2 linked regions of the Lepisosteus oculatus genome follow. The protein of the gene in region 2 purifies or fractionates together with the protein of the main gene of each other region. This does not show direct contact. Links are inferred from orthologs where the notes say so. Each region holds a gene or a part of one and is shown on either strand. Other genes may lie near its edges.

Region 1 (7,101 bases), on a different chromosome or scaffold from region 2:
AAGCAGCTCAAAGATGACTTCTTTTCCGGGAAAGCCCTTAATTATGTAGTTAAAAAAGGTAGTAGTTTTTTTTCCATCTGAAATTTACAGACAATCCCTAAACTCTAAAGAAAGCCACGACTGACAAATTCCATTAAAAAGCTATTTTTAGGTTTTGTTATCCTGACATGCATTAGTTCAAGGGGGGTTACAACTCCTAGAGTATAGTGGCCATAGATAACTGGAATCTTTAAAATAAGATGTGTGATTCACATATATTACGAAAACATTTTCAAAATTCCTTACTCAAGTTTGAACTTCTTTAAATTCCACTGTGACAGACAGATCATTGGACACAAATGGTAACTAAAGAAAACATTTATATGCATTTTAAACAGAGAACAGTAGCACTGCTAGAGACAGTGGATTTTAAGAGTATGGAAGAAACTATCAAGTTTTGCTGAAGGTGATACCATTTCTTCTTTCAAAACAAAATGTCTCCAAGATCCTCTGATCAAATAAACTAGATGGGCTGAATGTTCCCCTTTTCTTTGCAAACTGTATGTTGTCAAAATTGGAACTGTCTTTTTTTAAGAAAGAGTGATGAAAGATTTTGTTTTTCCTATTAACAAAATACATGTAAATGTACAGCAGCAGAAGCAACTATGCAAATATACGCTGAAGGATAAGCAAATGTTTTACAGCTCGTCTGAAGGAAATCTCATTTAATTGAAGTGTCATCTTTGAACAAAATGCTCATTAAAGACTGACTAAAATTGCATGAAAGCAGCAGCCCTTCCACACCTGAAGAATTCTCAACAGTAGCAGCTGGCAAACAAATGTCTAGCTCATCTGCGGTGTTACTTTTCAGCTGAGGAAAACTGTTACAAATCCACAACTTTCCTTCGGTGTTCCACAGATTTGGGATTTTCAGATGGGGTTCCAGGTGGAGTGTCACTTCTTACTGCTTTACAACATATCCCGCAAAAGAAACGGTCAGTCACTCTTCAGCCTTCTCTACCTGAGCAGATTTTACTGACTTTACCTTAAATAGTGTCGGCTTAAAAAAGGCAGATCGTAGCCTTCTAAGATGCCAGGCCACCAGCGCCAGCCCTGGGAGTTGTCCGTTACCTCTGCTGTACAAGGGAAGTTAGATACACCCCAGTTTAGAGCAGTTTCTAAAGGCTCTTTACAACTGTGGCTATTTTCCAGCACTCTTTCAACATTTCCACGGAAAAAAAACAACAACAACTCAGGTTTATCTCCAGTTATTCAAAGTTAACTGAATGTCATATATGAAACATCTCTTCAGACAAATCTTCTATATTATCACATGTATGCTGTGCCTTTTATCCTGTAGAGTGGAATAAACTTTCTCAGTTTCTCATTGCACGTCACCTGGGTTAAATGAGTTTACTTTAAACTGCCGTTCGACTCGAAGGATTTACGATTCAAAAGTTTAGGTTTTCCAAGCAGGGTCTCTTTAACATTACAGATACAACTTGTAAAACAACCCGTTATTGCCACAACAGATAAGGCATCGTGGATTCGGTTGCCTTTTTCTTTACTAGCAGGAGTCATACCTAACAAGCTACAACTACAAAACATCTGACGCCTGCTTGTTTCGTTATTCGGTGTGCAAGAGCGTTACGTGGTATCCAGGTGTGACGGACAGTAGCCTCTGGTGTTAAAATAAAATTAAAAGGAAGCGTGACGCCCCCTTCCATCTATTTCAGACATGGTGACACGTCGAAATCACGATCACAGGTCCGCCGATCTCTGCCCCCCCCAAATCACACACCTCATAAGACATGCTTCAACTGCCCCGAACCGCTATGAACTGTGCAGAAATTGGCGATATACAGCCCGAAGAGGGAAGGAAAAAGTATTTTAAATGGCGTGTTGAAAGTTACCAGCAAGCGGGGAAACTCCTATCAAACACCTTCACGGCCATCAGAGGAGGCAGGAATAATTAGGCTAACTAGGGCACTTAATACAGTACGTCCTAACTCAACCCAACAAAGACAAGCCGGGCAGGAGCCTGGAAAAATCAAACGGTAAACCGATTATGTATATCCACACCACAATAAAATAAAACCTCCCATCAGAAAGAAATGACAAGATTACTCAGAATTACGAATAAAATTAATTGGGATACTTATGGGGGGTGAATCAGGAACTGGTCTATAATAATAAGAAGAAGAAATTAAAAGATCAGTGATCGATGCCTCGTACTTCCACAGAGAGAGAGAGAGGCTGTGTGGCTGGGCTGCGGTGAATTATTTTCCCAAATAAATAATTAAGGATTTCAATGGAGGGCATGGAGGTCTAACTCAGATTATTCATTAAAAAACAAACAAACACAGGTGACGGCGTTACGCCTAACACAACACGGGTGACAAATGTAACGTACCTGCGAGACGTTAATATTAGGGGGCCGATCCTGCTAGTAGTGCTGGCTGATAAGATATTAGTAGGAGATGTACTTAGGCCTCAGCACTTAGCTCAGGTCTCGTCACCGTCCTTATCGCAACTTTAGCCCCGATACGCAGAGGGCAACGGCTGAAATATGTTATTTTGTGTGCGGCAGAGCCCTAACCACGAAGATACTTACAATCTAAATGTTTCTTTTTCGGTCCCATGATTTCGTGCGTGGTCGCCTTGCACACAGTTTTCGAGACTGCAGACCCGGTAACACTGTGTTGAGCTGCAGTTATCCTATCCGTTATGCTCTGCCCAGACATCTTCGCTTCTCTGTACAAGGAATGAAAAACAGGATAGATCTTCCCGATATTTTAAAGAGAATCGGTATGTTCGGATATCCTCCGGGGGCTTCCACGGTTCCACCACCTGACACAGAAAGGAAAAGAAAAAAAAAAGAGACAAAAACCGTCCGTACTCGGGAGAAAAACCAGTAGGAAAAACAATATTGTTATATCCACTGTTTGGTCCAAGAAGCCCCAGTATAAATGCCAAAGATCATTGGACGTCGGGCTGCAGGCAGATAAAAAAAACAGTGCTTCTTTTTTTCTTAAGGGTCCTCGTTTCTCTTACTCCCTCAACCTATTACCACACACACACACTCTCTCTCGCACTCACTCTCTCTTCCCCCCCACCTCTCTCTCTCTCTCTCACCCTCTGTGTCTCTCTCCTCTTTTTCGCCTCCCCCTGCTGGGTTTAAATGGACCGGAGGCTTGCAGGAAAATGGCGGGTCCGTTTCCTTCTCTTGCTGGAGCCTCCCAAGGTATTGTGTAGTTCGGAAACTGACTCCATTGTGGCTCCTGCGTGTTTTCGACAACGCCTGGGCAAGAATCGAGTTTGTAGAGCCAACATGGCGACAAGCGAACAGTAGTTTCCCTGCTCCCGTCTTCGGTCTGTACACCAGCAGGGATGGTTTCAATTCACGTGACATGTCACACGTTCCATAGTGCTCTATTTCGGCAGAAAGTATTGTTAGCAGTGTAATCAAAGGGTGGCTGTCTGTCTTTGCTTCCGTCGTTCAAATAAGCAGACTGATCTCACTTACTTACCCATGCATGCTCCCTTTTAGTAACTTTAGTCTTGAAGGTAATTTGTGCATTGGAGAAAAATACCACTGATGAAGTTTCATTCCATAAACCAACTCTTAAGGTAGGCTTTATAACATAACATCACTTTATTAGCCCTATACAATTTCTTGCATTAGGAATTCATCTTTTCACATACCCCAGCTTGCTCTCCATGAGAGACAGACACACAGACAGGGAGAGAAGCCTGGGGTAACAGCACAGGGTCAGCTATTGTACAGCACCCCTGGAGCAGTTGGGGTTAAGGGCCTTGCTCAGGGGCCCAACGGAGTAGGATTCCTCTGCTAGCTGCAGGATTTGAACCAGCAACCTTCCAGCCACAGGCACATATCCTTAGCCACAGAACCACTGCTCTGCCCCTTATAGCAGAAGAGATCATTTTACCATTTGACTCGCGTACCTCAATGTTAAATTCCACCCTAGAACAGAAAAGTCTTTTGGCATTCTTTTCATCTCGGGAATGTATCAGTCAAGTGGATCAGATCAAATGGCACACCGACACGTTTAGTAAACAGCGGAACCATTTTACACCAGGGTGTTGTCATTTGTCAATAAATGCTTCTTCCAAGTTTCATTAGCAGTGCGAGTTACCTCACAGTGCATCCAGTCTGATTGCATTCACGTATGCCTGCGATGTACAGGATGCCAGACAATGGAAAGTAACCTAATTAATTAGCTACAGGACTCTGAACTCCACTCTCTGTTGTGAGCCTAACCAATACCATATTAAATTGTGTTTGTAAATAAAACAATGTTTGAAGAATTGATGCGGAACTGAGCAGGTTTTCCATTGGCTCTGCCCTGGGAACTTCTTAAACAATCAGAGGGGCATATGCACAAGCAAACTAAAGAGGCTTCAGTTGAGCTCAGCTGGCATTCATGCTGGGAGTAAAAGGGATCTTTCACTGTAAAAACACGAAGTCTGCTTAAAAAAAAAAGAAGATAATGAGCTCTCCAAAGCTCGCACGTAATGTTTGTGCATAGTAATAAAGATCATCTTTGCATATGTGATGCGTATAGTTCTTCCCCTGCTGGGATTCAGTCACTCAAGAATTACATTACCGTTCTTCTGACAGAGGAGAGTTGCACTCCAGGGTGACATAACACTCTGTAACATGCTTATCTTTGTTTGTGTGCTACTTTATCCTCCTCTGATGTTGTGCACCCACCTATTGGGTATAAGGTAGCCATTCTCTGCCTGTTCACTACCCTTTAGATCAGGCAGGTAGAGTTTGTTCTCCATCAACAGAATTTGAGGAGAAATTTGATTTAGGCAGGACTCCAGGGTTAAGTCCCCTGCTCTTACAGTGTCATGGGGTCTTCAATGACCACAAGGATTAACACCTCATTCAAATGATTGCACCAGTGTTCTCTAACACCATTCTGGCACATTCATTTGGGGATTCTTGTAAGGAGGTCCGAGGGGACACCTAACACTATACTAACAGCATCAACCTGACTCCCAAAGCAGTGCTGAACAGGTCCAACATAGGGGTTACAAAATGTGCCTGAACGCTGCAGTCCACTCAGCTGAATATAATCAGGTTTATGCTAAATGAGCCAGCCTTCCATCTAGAGAGTGCTTGAATCCACGTAACACTACAGAAAATGGGAAATGCTCCAGCCAGATGAGCCATGAAGCTTAAATATGGAACTCCAAACTATAATGTGAAAACTGTTGGACTTTCCCATCCACTAAAAATTGTATGTTGACTGCCTATTCTTTGTGGTTTTAATTATAATGCATTTAATCTTTAACACAGTGACTATATTCATGTGAAGACAGTCCCATACTATGCAAACATGTACCCAATTTAGATAATTTTACAAAAGGGTTCAGGATCATCACAGGCATCAACATTTTTATTTACAGTGCTTACATTACTAATGTAATGCATGGCCATCTTGTGGCAAGATCTAGGAATCACATCTAAAGGCTGTTGTGAAATGTTTGATCACACCACATGAGCAATTTAAACAGAACTATAGACTTGTTTTAAGTTCTGTAGAGGTCCAATAAAAATATTTTCTTTCAATTTAAAAGATTCATCATTAATTGCATGAATTATTCATTTTCTGGAAGAAATCACAAGTTCAATACTATTCAAAAAATAATTTAAAAGCAAAAGTAATGTAATGTACATTTTCTTCTATCATATGGCCATATACATTTTCTTCATTTATCTTTAGAAATGCTTCAAAACGTTTAGAGCACTCCTTCCTAATAATGAAATTCAGTGGTTTAATTTAGTAAGTAAAAGTAATATTTGCTATAAAACAATGTCCTTCAAATGCTTTTTGTTTACTTTGTGTACAAATTTAAATTATTAAATCAGGGATTAATGACACATCATAATTCTTTAGATTGAAGAAATCTCTTAAAAGGATAAAGAATGTAATTTCGTATTTGCATATAATTTCGTTTTTGTCTTAACTTAATTGTTTCAATGTACAACTGTTTGTGCTGCAAAACATGATTGAAGAATAGGAATGTCTTTTATGGGTGTCCTGTGTGAAAAAAAGTAACTACAAATACAGCAAATCTACAGAATAGTAAATTCCACAGCTGTGCCTGTGCCTGTAAGATTTTATATTTATAACCTACCAATACACTTCAAACCAATATGACTGTAAATGCTAAAGCATGTCAATAAATTTGATTTCTAATGAAAGGTAGAAGATTCCCAGTCCTTAACTACTTCACTATGATGACCAAAATCCTTTGAGGTTCAAAAAAATATTTTGAAAATCACAAAACTAGAGTATTATTTTTATTATGTATATTTATTTGTATCTTATTTTTTTAATGTTTGTCAGATACCATAAGACTCTAACTTAGCTTACATGTTTCTCTGGTTGGCTTCAAGATCATATAGTCTCTGTGGACTCGATTTATTGATTCATTTCCCTATAGGTCATCTAGTAAAGAGTGGTATAAAGTTGGTGACTTACCTAGTTTGGATAAAAAATTATAACAACAAAAATATAAAATATCTACATATTATTTTAATAAAAAATAAATGATGCATCCAAGCAGATGAGGTATTGATCAAACAACAAAATATGTCAACACTTATTCTAAACTAATTTGGAATAAGCTGGTTATTCTATATGACAGGTACAGTAGTTGCAAATAGCTGAGTAGCTAAACTAAATAATAGGACCAAGGCATTTTCTATTAATCAAACAGTATTTTAAGAGTTTAAGTTGACTTCATTGTCATTAGAGATATTCAAGAGAATCAAGAAGTTCAAGCACTTTGCAGTAGAGCTTGCTTAGATCATTTATACATGTCCTGGTCTTCATATTGTAATTACTGTCATGATTACATTAGCATTGTGAAATGGGAGGCTCAGTCTTCACTGTGTCTCTACTTCAAATGAAACCATTTTGAAGTATGTGGATGACCGCAATAAAACAGGTGACAGTAATATTTGGTTGCAACTACTAACGGTAATACACTCATTATATTGTTTTATTATATTGCCACTAACATTCAATAATATTATTTCTTTAAATCAAGACGTAACCTACTGTATTCCATGTGGCTCAGCAT
Region 2 (7,729 bases):
AGACAGATGCCATTTGGAAACTTTCAGTCTCTCTCTTATGCATGCGAAATGTGATGTGTCAGGGGATGCAGTGATTTCTAACCTTCTAAAACCTTAACAATCATGATAGTGCTTTCTTCATCTTGAGTCCACTAATTAGCTTGCTGCCCGTTTAATTTGCTGCTCATGGACTGACTCCCTAGGGCCTCCCAGAATCACAACACTGCAGGTCATCAATCTTTGTCCAAGCTAAGGTTTTAACATCGGAGTGCATTCAATTCTTCCTAAAAAGAGGAACTAATTACATTCCTCAGTGAAAGCGTGCTGACTTTCTACGAACTTTCACATGCTAGTACTACTGTAATACAAAATCATTAAGAAGCAGCAAAACAGACTCCACACTATTATAGAGGTACCATTATGACTGCTTAAAAAGAAAGCATACATTTTGTTCAAAGCATACTGACACCTTAAGATGCACCAGCCCAGTTTGCTTTCAAGGGGGTCCTGCTAGTCTGTTCAAAATTCGACATAAAAAAGTCAGGTCTGACCTAAAAAAAAATGTTGCAGTTATACGGAAACAAATACAAATATTTGTATCACTTTATCAAGAACAGGATTCACTGTATACTGAATGACTCCAAAATCTGTTTCCGTGCGATGTGACCTCCACTGTGGAGGTCGGAATCGCCCCAGCCTGAATGGCAAGAGGGGAGGCCCTCGGCTCACGCCCTCCTGCTCTTCGTCCCCCCCCCCCCCGTCTGCATCATCATCATCATCATCACTCCTCCAAGTTTTTCCCTGTGCTTGGAGTCTGAATTTCAGAAACAAAAAAGACCTCAAGAGGGCGTTTCCCATTCAATCATTGCTCATCCCGAAAGGTGCCGAGTGATGGGATGAGATGAGCCCGTCCCGCTCGGAGCGAGACCGGACAATTTCTCCCCGCTGGACTCGCTTCCTCCCGGAGCTCGCCGCTCGCCTTTTCATTTGGTTTTTGTTATCCATACGCCGCTGGTCATGCAGAACCCCTCCAGTTCTGTTCAAGGGTTCGCACTTCCCAGATGTTTCCGGGTTCGACTCCAGCTCAGGGGACCAGTCTTGTGGAACAGGCATTCTCCCTCCCCTATGATTAATTTAGTGTGCAAGCTGTGTGCTTTTGTCCCCTTCCATCTCCCACAGAGATGAGGTTTGATTGACCCGTTTGAACTGCCCCGTTTTGGGAAAGGGGTGTCAAGGAGAATTAATCTTTTTTGGGGGGGCTGTTCGCATTACAGTGGCTGTGATAAACTGATAAACTGGACCAAATGGCCGTAATGGGTCGAATGTAACAGAAAACCCACTGGAATCACAGGAATTTCCGTCAAGTCTGAAGCTCCATGCCCCAGGGGTCACGGGAGCCTGTTTTCCGAAGTTGTTTGCTGACACCCACGATTAAGCTGCTTGAACAGGTATCGCTTGTACATCAGGCCGATCACGTTAAGTGTAAGCAAAGCCTCCGACAACGTCCTTTTCATTGAATCCTGACGTGCACAACTTCCCTAATCAGCTGGGAGCAAGTCGGTGGTAGCTAGGGAGGCGCCCTCGCAGGGCTACAAGGAGGCATTCATGCTGACGTTCGCCCGTAGCTCAGGTTAAAAAAACAAACGTGGAAGAATGAATGTTTTCATCAGGTGTTGTTTCGTAGCCATCATTTGTGCACTCACCTTTGAATGACGTATTTTGCGTGGAAGACAAACTTTCTAAAAAGAAATCACCACCTTGCCGGTTTATGTATGTAAACCAACACCAACCAGTCCCCTTTTCAGCAAAATACCGCAGACTCAACTGACCTGTCAACTGTATATTGAATTCTTAGCAGTTATTATCCACGTCGGGATTTTAAAAGCGCGAATTTAGGACTTTTATAACGATGCATTTTGAGGGGTCTTTTTTTTTAAGCTGTCTGAGTACTGTGAACTTATTTTGGGACACTTCCCTGTCTAGATTTAAGCAATCTCTTTAATTAATGTGCAATCTCCTCCCCGCCACTGCGCTCCCCAGCCGGGTTTCAACACCGAGAACAAAACAGAAGTAATATTACACAAACAAATTACAAAACAAGGACAGTTAATGACCGCTTTGATAGCTACGGCTACACAGAACAGACACCGAATGATTGACATCATGTTTCTGCCCTGCACATTTTTTTTTTTCAGCTCAAGAAGCCAACCTAGGCTGGCTACCACTAAGTAAACACCATTTCCCCCACAAAATGCTTGAGTTCTCTTCGAAAGATTTCACTGACATGGGGACGACGACACCTTTTGAACTCTTCCCGTCTTGTCACGTAGGACACAATGTATACGTACACGTGAAATTAATTCTATTACTCGCCCAGTTGTAGGACTTTAAATTATCAATGAACCAAGCCCACCGGTTTACAATGCGATATTCTCTTTACCTGCTGCTTGTCAAAATGCTCTTTCTCCGCCCCCAAACTGTTCTCATTTCTTCTGCTTTTCACCCTGGAAGGCACCTGTCGTATCGAATTCATCCTCCGCTCCGGCAGCTCGGGAGACGAATATGCCTCTGCCTCTGGTGTCGATTATGCACTTGATAAAAAATCACCCTTTTGTTTTTTAAAAAACAAAAACAAAAACAAAACAAAAAGCAAGCCGGGGGATACGACGAGCTGGAGCGACCAGTCCAAACGACGCGCGTGTGTTTTTTGTTTTTTTTTTTCCGGTTGCCCTTTAAAACACAAAGGAAAACAAAACAAATAAAAACACAAAAAGCCCCCCCCAAAAAAAAAAACAACAGCTCCCGGCTGGCCGCGCTAGTGCAGGGGCTGGCTCCGCCGTGCAGAGTTAAATGAACGCAGCATCATGGGAGAAGGAAGAAAAAGGCACTGCTGTGTGTTTGCGATACGTGGATCCCAGCCCAGGTTGCACAGAACACGGACATAGCAACGCGCTTTCCTGAATGGGCGGAATGAGAGAAGGGGGGGAGGAGGGATAAGAGATCAGTCTAGAAGAAAAACTGTATACAGTTTTCCCCACCAATCAATCAACGCACAAAGCTGCTGGGAGTCGGATTCACGTTCCGGCCATGCCCGGTAATGTCTTTTTTTTTTTTGGTGGCGGGCTCTGCCAATGGGAAACTCCCCTGCGAATTGGCCCCGATCGTATCAAGTGCGATCAGATTTTCATTAAACGTTTGGATTTGCCTGCTGCAGAAATCAGCAGCGGCATCTGCCATTATAAATACACGCTACACAACGTCAGTGCATTTTATTGGGCTTCCACAGAAGTATTCAGACGTCTAGAAATTTCATATGTTAACATGGATTTCCTATTGCATTATGTAGGCTATATAAATACACTGAATGTATAAAACGGATTGCAGCGTGCTGCTTATTTGAATATGAAGTCGAAGAGTTTAATTAGCTGATATTTATTTTAAAATGTATTTTGTATCTTTAAAAACGGTACACGACATATGTGAGAAAGTTTTATTTGAGCAATTCCGATACAAATAACAATGACCATTTAAAAAAAAACATACAATCTTCAGAAAAATACTGTTAAAAATAATGCACTTTACAAAACCTAAAAAAAAACAATTTCAGAGTACACTTGTGCTCAAATCTGAATTGCACAGTATTGATACATATTAGGTTTATAGTTCTGTTTTCCGTCCTCATGTCTGTAGTGCTTTTTGATATGTACAAGAACCAACGGTAATAATATAGGGCAGTTTCAACCACTTCCCTATAGATGTTCACAATACTGTCAACAGGCACGAAGAAAAACTCAGTACTGACGCCTCTAGAGACTCTGTCTTCACGACATAAAGTCACTGTACTTCTGCAACATGTCCAAATTGTTCTGCATCTCCTTACGTCAACTGCTAGAAAAAAAAACTCACACCCTTGTACACTGGCGGAACTCTGAAACGAGGGGCAATCTGTTTTCTTACGATTCAGAGTGCAAGATACCACTGTAATAACATTCCCACTTGCCCCGCTGCTGCGTAAATATTGCTTTTTAGAGGATTCAAAATACATAACACTCAATTAGACAACAAAGGTTTAATTTAAACCGAGAAGCTTGGTAAATGAGGCTGGCAGAATTTCAGAAAACACCTTACCACTGTTATAGTGCACGCATTTAGTATTTGAAATGTGAGGGAAATAAATTAGCTGTCTGAATGTACATCACGGTAATCTCACGATGTCCTCACCAGCAGTGAATGAAGTAAAACAAGTCACTGTATCCCCTGATGCTGTAGTACTGTACCTTATTAGAACGTTCTGTCCTCAACATTTTAGCTCATTTATAATTTAGAGTAACACTCAGGTGAATACTAGAACAAAATATCTTCTTTGAATTTGAAAACTATCACATTTTTAGCTAATGTTCCCAAATTTGCAGATTTTTCCGTGCTAAAAAAAGGTGTGAGGCAAGACTTTGACATTATCATGTAATGAGTGGAACAGTAAAATGACTGTACAGTCAGACAAAATTTAATGGAAATAGGTTTACTGGCAGGAGACAGCAGAGTTTTAATAGTTGAAGAACTGCTGTCAATTAATATTTTAAAGCTATTGTGGACCTTTCACAAGCCCAGAAAACAAATGATATTCACTAGACCTTGAATGCCAATGAAGTTTCCTCAACATCACTCATTTAGTGTGAAGACAATCTGGGATCAAGTTAAATCTAGGAGTGAAAGCTTGTTTCACCCCTGTGGAAAATACGTCTCACAGAGCCCAATGTTTTAAATACTGCTGGTTTTAAAAATCTAGATTTCTCCAGGTTAATCAGGGGAAAACTACTTAATACTTTTTTGAAAGCCCAGGTATCTCTAATAAAATAGATGCCCACTCAGATTCAGTATGAATCATTTAGCTCTTCATTTCTGACCTGTTAAAATAGTTTCTATTAAAGAGTGCCATGTCTTAGATTACTGTATTTAATTGCTCGTTTCATTCCAGTTACTGTACTGTATTTGTAAGGTGAAACTACATGTTAGTGATTGTATGAAAAAGGTTCTGACATCTGTATTAAAACCCGCAAACGTCATATTTTAGGCTCTAGTGTCTGTGGTGCACCCTTAACAGTACATTTGTATTTCTAATAGAGAAGAGTTGGACTTCTAACAACAGTTTTGTCCACAAATGATTCAAACATAAAAATGCATATACTTAAATATTTCTTTTATAATTGATGTGTCTTTCAGATAATAAAATTATATTTTAAAAAACCCAAGCCAAGACTAATGCCATCTAAAGATCTGGTAGGTCAATAAATCTTAGATCTCATGTGCTATTTTTTCCTATAGGCATTAACAATATATTTTACATGGAAAGTGCAACCACATTCCTGTTGACTACAGATCTCTTTTGTATTTAATACAGAAACTGAAACTCAATTTCTGCTTTTTGGTTACTCCTTTATAATACTTAAGTCATTATTTTTATGTTGCTATCTAAAACTATCGAGGTCTAGGCAAGTGAAAACAGATTTTTGCATTACATTTTGTTTCCAGCATTAATTTAAAAAAATAAATTACTGTTTATTTTTAAAAAACTTTCGCATTCTTTAAAGAATGAATTTATTATCACATGCATAAAATACAGCGGGACTCTTTTTTAACTTTGTGTCTGTTTGCATTGTTAGCATCTGAGGAAACGCCTACCCTAGCTATTAGACTCTAACAGTGGTCTAGGAGCATAAGACATTCCTTTTTTATGGTACATATTTCTGCATCCCTGTGCAATCCAGGCATCCCAGCGTCATTCAGAACTTTCACCTCCACCCACAGTTCCACGGAGATAGCTGGCTTTGAACACATGGGTAGCCTTTGCAGTCCAATTCACGGCCTCCCAGATACCTGATGCGTCTTAGAGATTAACAGGCAGCTGCTGTGTGTCCAGGTTTAAGAGGCTGCCTGCTACACTTCTCTTAGAACAAGAATTTTGGTGCTGTGGAATCAGAAAAAATAACAGTAAGACAAACTGCATCTTTGTTTTCTACGCTTATATTGAGACACAGAATACTCTCACATCACCACTCTCCTAAATCCAAACTTTTCTGCAGTGTTACTCTTTTATGCAACAGGACTGAAAAGTGCATCAGTCTGTGGTTTAATCTTTGTGTTACCCTAGTGAATTATTTCAGCTGGCCACTGCCAATTAATAGGGCGGAGTGGTGGCTCTGTGGCTATGCGCCTGTGACTGGAAGGTTGCCGGTTCAAATCCCACGGCCGGCAGAGGAATCCTACTCTGTTGGGCCCCTGAGCAAGGCCCTTAACCCTAACTGCTCCAGGGGCGCCGTACAATGGCAGACCCTGCGCTCTGTCCCCAAGCTTCTCTCTCCCTGTCTGTGTGTCTCTGTCTCCATGGAGAAAAGCTGGGGTATGCGAAAAGACGAATTCCTAATGCAAGAAATTGTATAGGGCTAATAACGAAAAATTATACATTATTATAAAACATTATACATTATTATAAACATTAATATAGAGTTGTATTTGCACTTGACTTGATTTGATAGCCTTTGTTTTCCCAGCCTGTATTAAGAAACAATATTTACCTTGGAGTGCGTGGAACCTTCAAGCAGCTGGGTGTCTCTGAGGAACTGTTCTCTGCTGTCCAATGCCTCAACACTCTATTCAGAATTTCAGAAACAAAACACCAGTCAACGTACCACATTACCTTTAAGATCAAGTTTTAAGCCTTGAAGTCGGTATTCAAAAATATAAATAATTGTAAACAGAAAAATATAAACTTCAGTTTATTATAAAGTAAAAACAGTCCTCACACAGCAGTCCATCCATCTGCCTTTAAATCCTGCAAAAAATCTGATCTTTTAAAAATATTAACTCTGGATGGTACTTCAACTAAACATTTCTATTTCAGTAGGCTTGAGTGGTGAATGACTGTATTAGACTGTGAATGACAGGAGATTATAAATAGAACAGCGCATTATTACAGGATTGTGTGTGCCAACCTAATATCATATTATTTCACTCAAGTTACCCTTTGTGTGTGAAAGTGAAGCAGAAATACCTAGAGATTCTGCAAATTAGGCAATAAAGCCGCCTGTGCTCTATGTAGCAAAATGTCACAGAACAAAATGCAAGATAGCATGACACAATTCACCCCTAAAAGCAGATTAACAAGGCAGCTCTACAGTAAGAAGATTATGGAGATTAGGAAACCCGATTGATTGGGGAAGCCAACACGAGATCATTCAGACTGACAGGGTTAGTGGGCTAGCAGGCCACAGATCTCTATGAAACAAAAACAATAAAGCACCCCCACATATAAAGTCCAACAAACTCACAATATATTTAAATACGTTCTTGTAAGTTCAATAAAAGCACAATATTTAATAATGTGTTTCCTTTAACAGTCAGGGTAATAATTGTTCTTATTCTTTCGAAATACAGATCTGAAATATATTAAGGCATATTGTGAGTAAATAAAATGCATTCTTTTCTCATAATATTATATGGAAATACAGTAAGCATCAAAGAAAAACAACTGTGCAAGAACTGATGTCACCATTGTAATGGTAAAGCAGAGCCCTATTAATTTATTTTTAAAAGGTTGACAAGTTTTCTGGCCTCAAAAAAAGAAATGCAGATTTATGAAATAAGAAATGGTGTTTGATCTCTAATGGGCTTTGCTAATCCCTGCTGTCTGGTGTCAAAGAGCCCTAAGCCAGAGGGAGCTGCTGGTAGAGGCGACATACCCTGCTGCTGCCAC

Evidence for each region.
Region 1: the proteins of huntingtin-interacting protein 1-related protein (region 2) and picalma fractionate together in Homo sapiens (co-fractionation; 3 studies listed by BioGRID and IntAct, with this or other methods). This does not show direct contact. The link is inferred for Lepisosteus oculatus from reciprocal best matches to the Homo sapiens genes HIP1R and PICALM.

The regions. Positions count from the first base shown.
Region 1 is NC_090700.1:7,411,857-7,418,957, reverse strand, and holds the start of picalma (phosphatidylinositol binding clathrin assembly protein a), read right to left. Parts: upstream 3,205-7,101; 5' UTR 2,724-3,204; coding exon 2,594-2,723; intron 2,487-2,593; exon of another isoform or gene 2,393-2,486; intron 1-2,392. UniProt on the Homo sapiens protein: Cytoplasmic adapter protein that plays a critical role in clathrin-mediated endocytosis which is important in processes such as internalization of cell receptors, synaptic transmission or removal of apoptotic cells.
Region 2 is NC_090717.1:7,337,431-7,345,159, reverse strand, and holds the start of huntingtin-interacting protein 1-related protein, read right to left. Parts: upstream 3,032-7,729; 5' UTR 2,513-3,031; coding exon 2,420-2,512; intron 1-2,419. Other genes in the region: ccdc62 (coiled-coil domain-containing protein 62), read right to left, coding at 5,864-5,944, 6,552-6,626, 7,716-7,729. UniProt on the Homo sapiens protein: Component of clathrin-coated pits and vesicles, that may link the endocytic machinery to the actin cytoskeleton. Binds 3-phosphoinositides (via ENTH domain).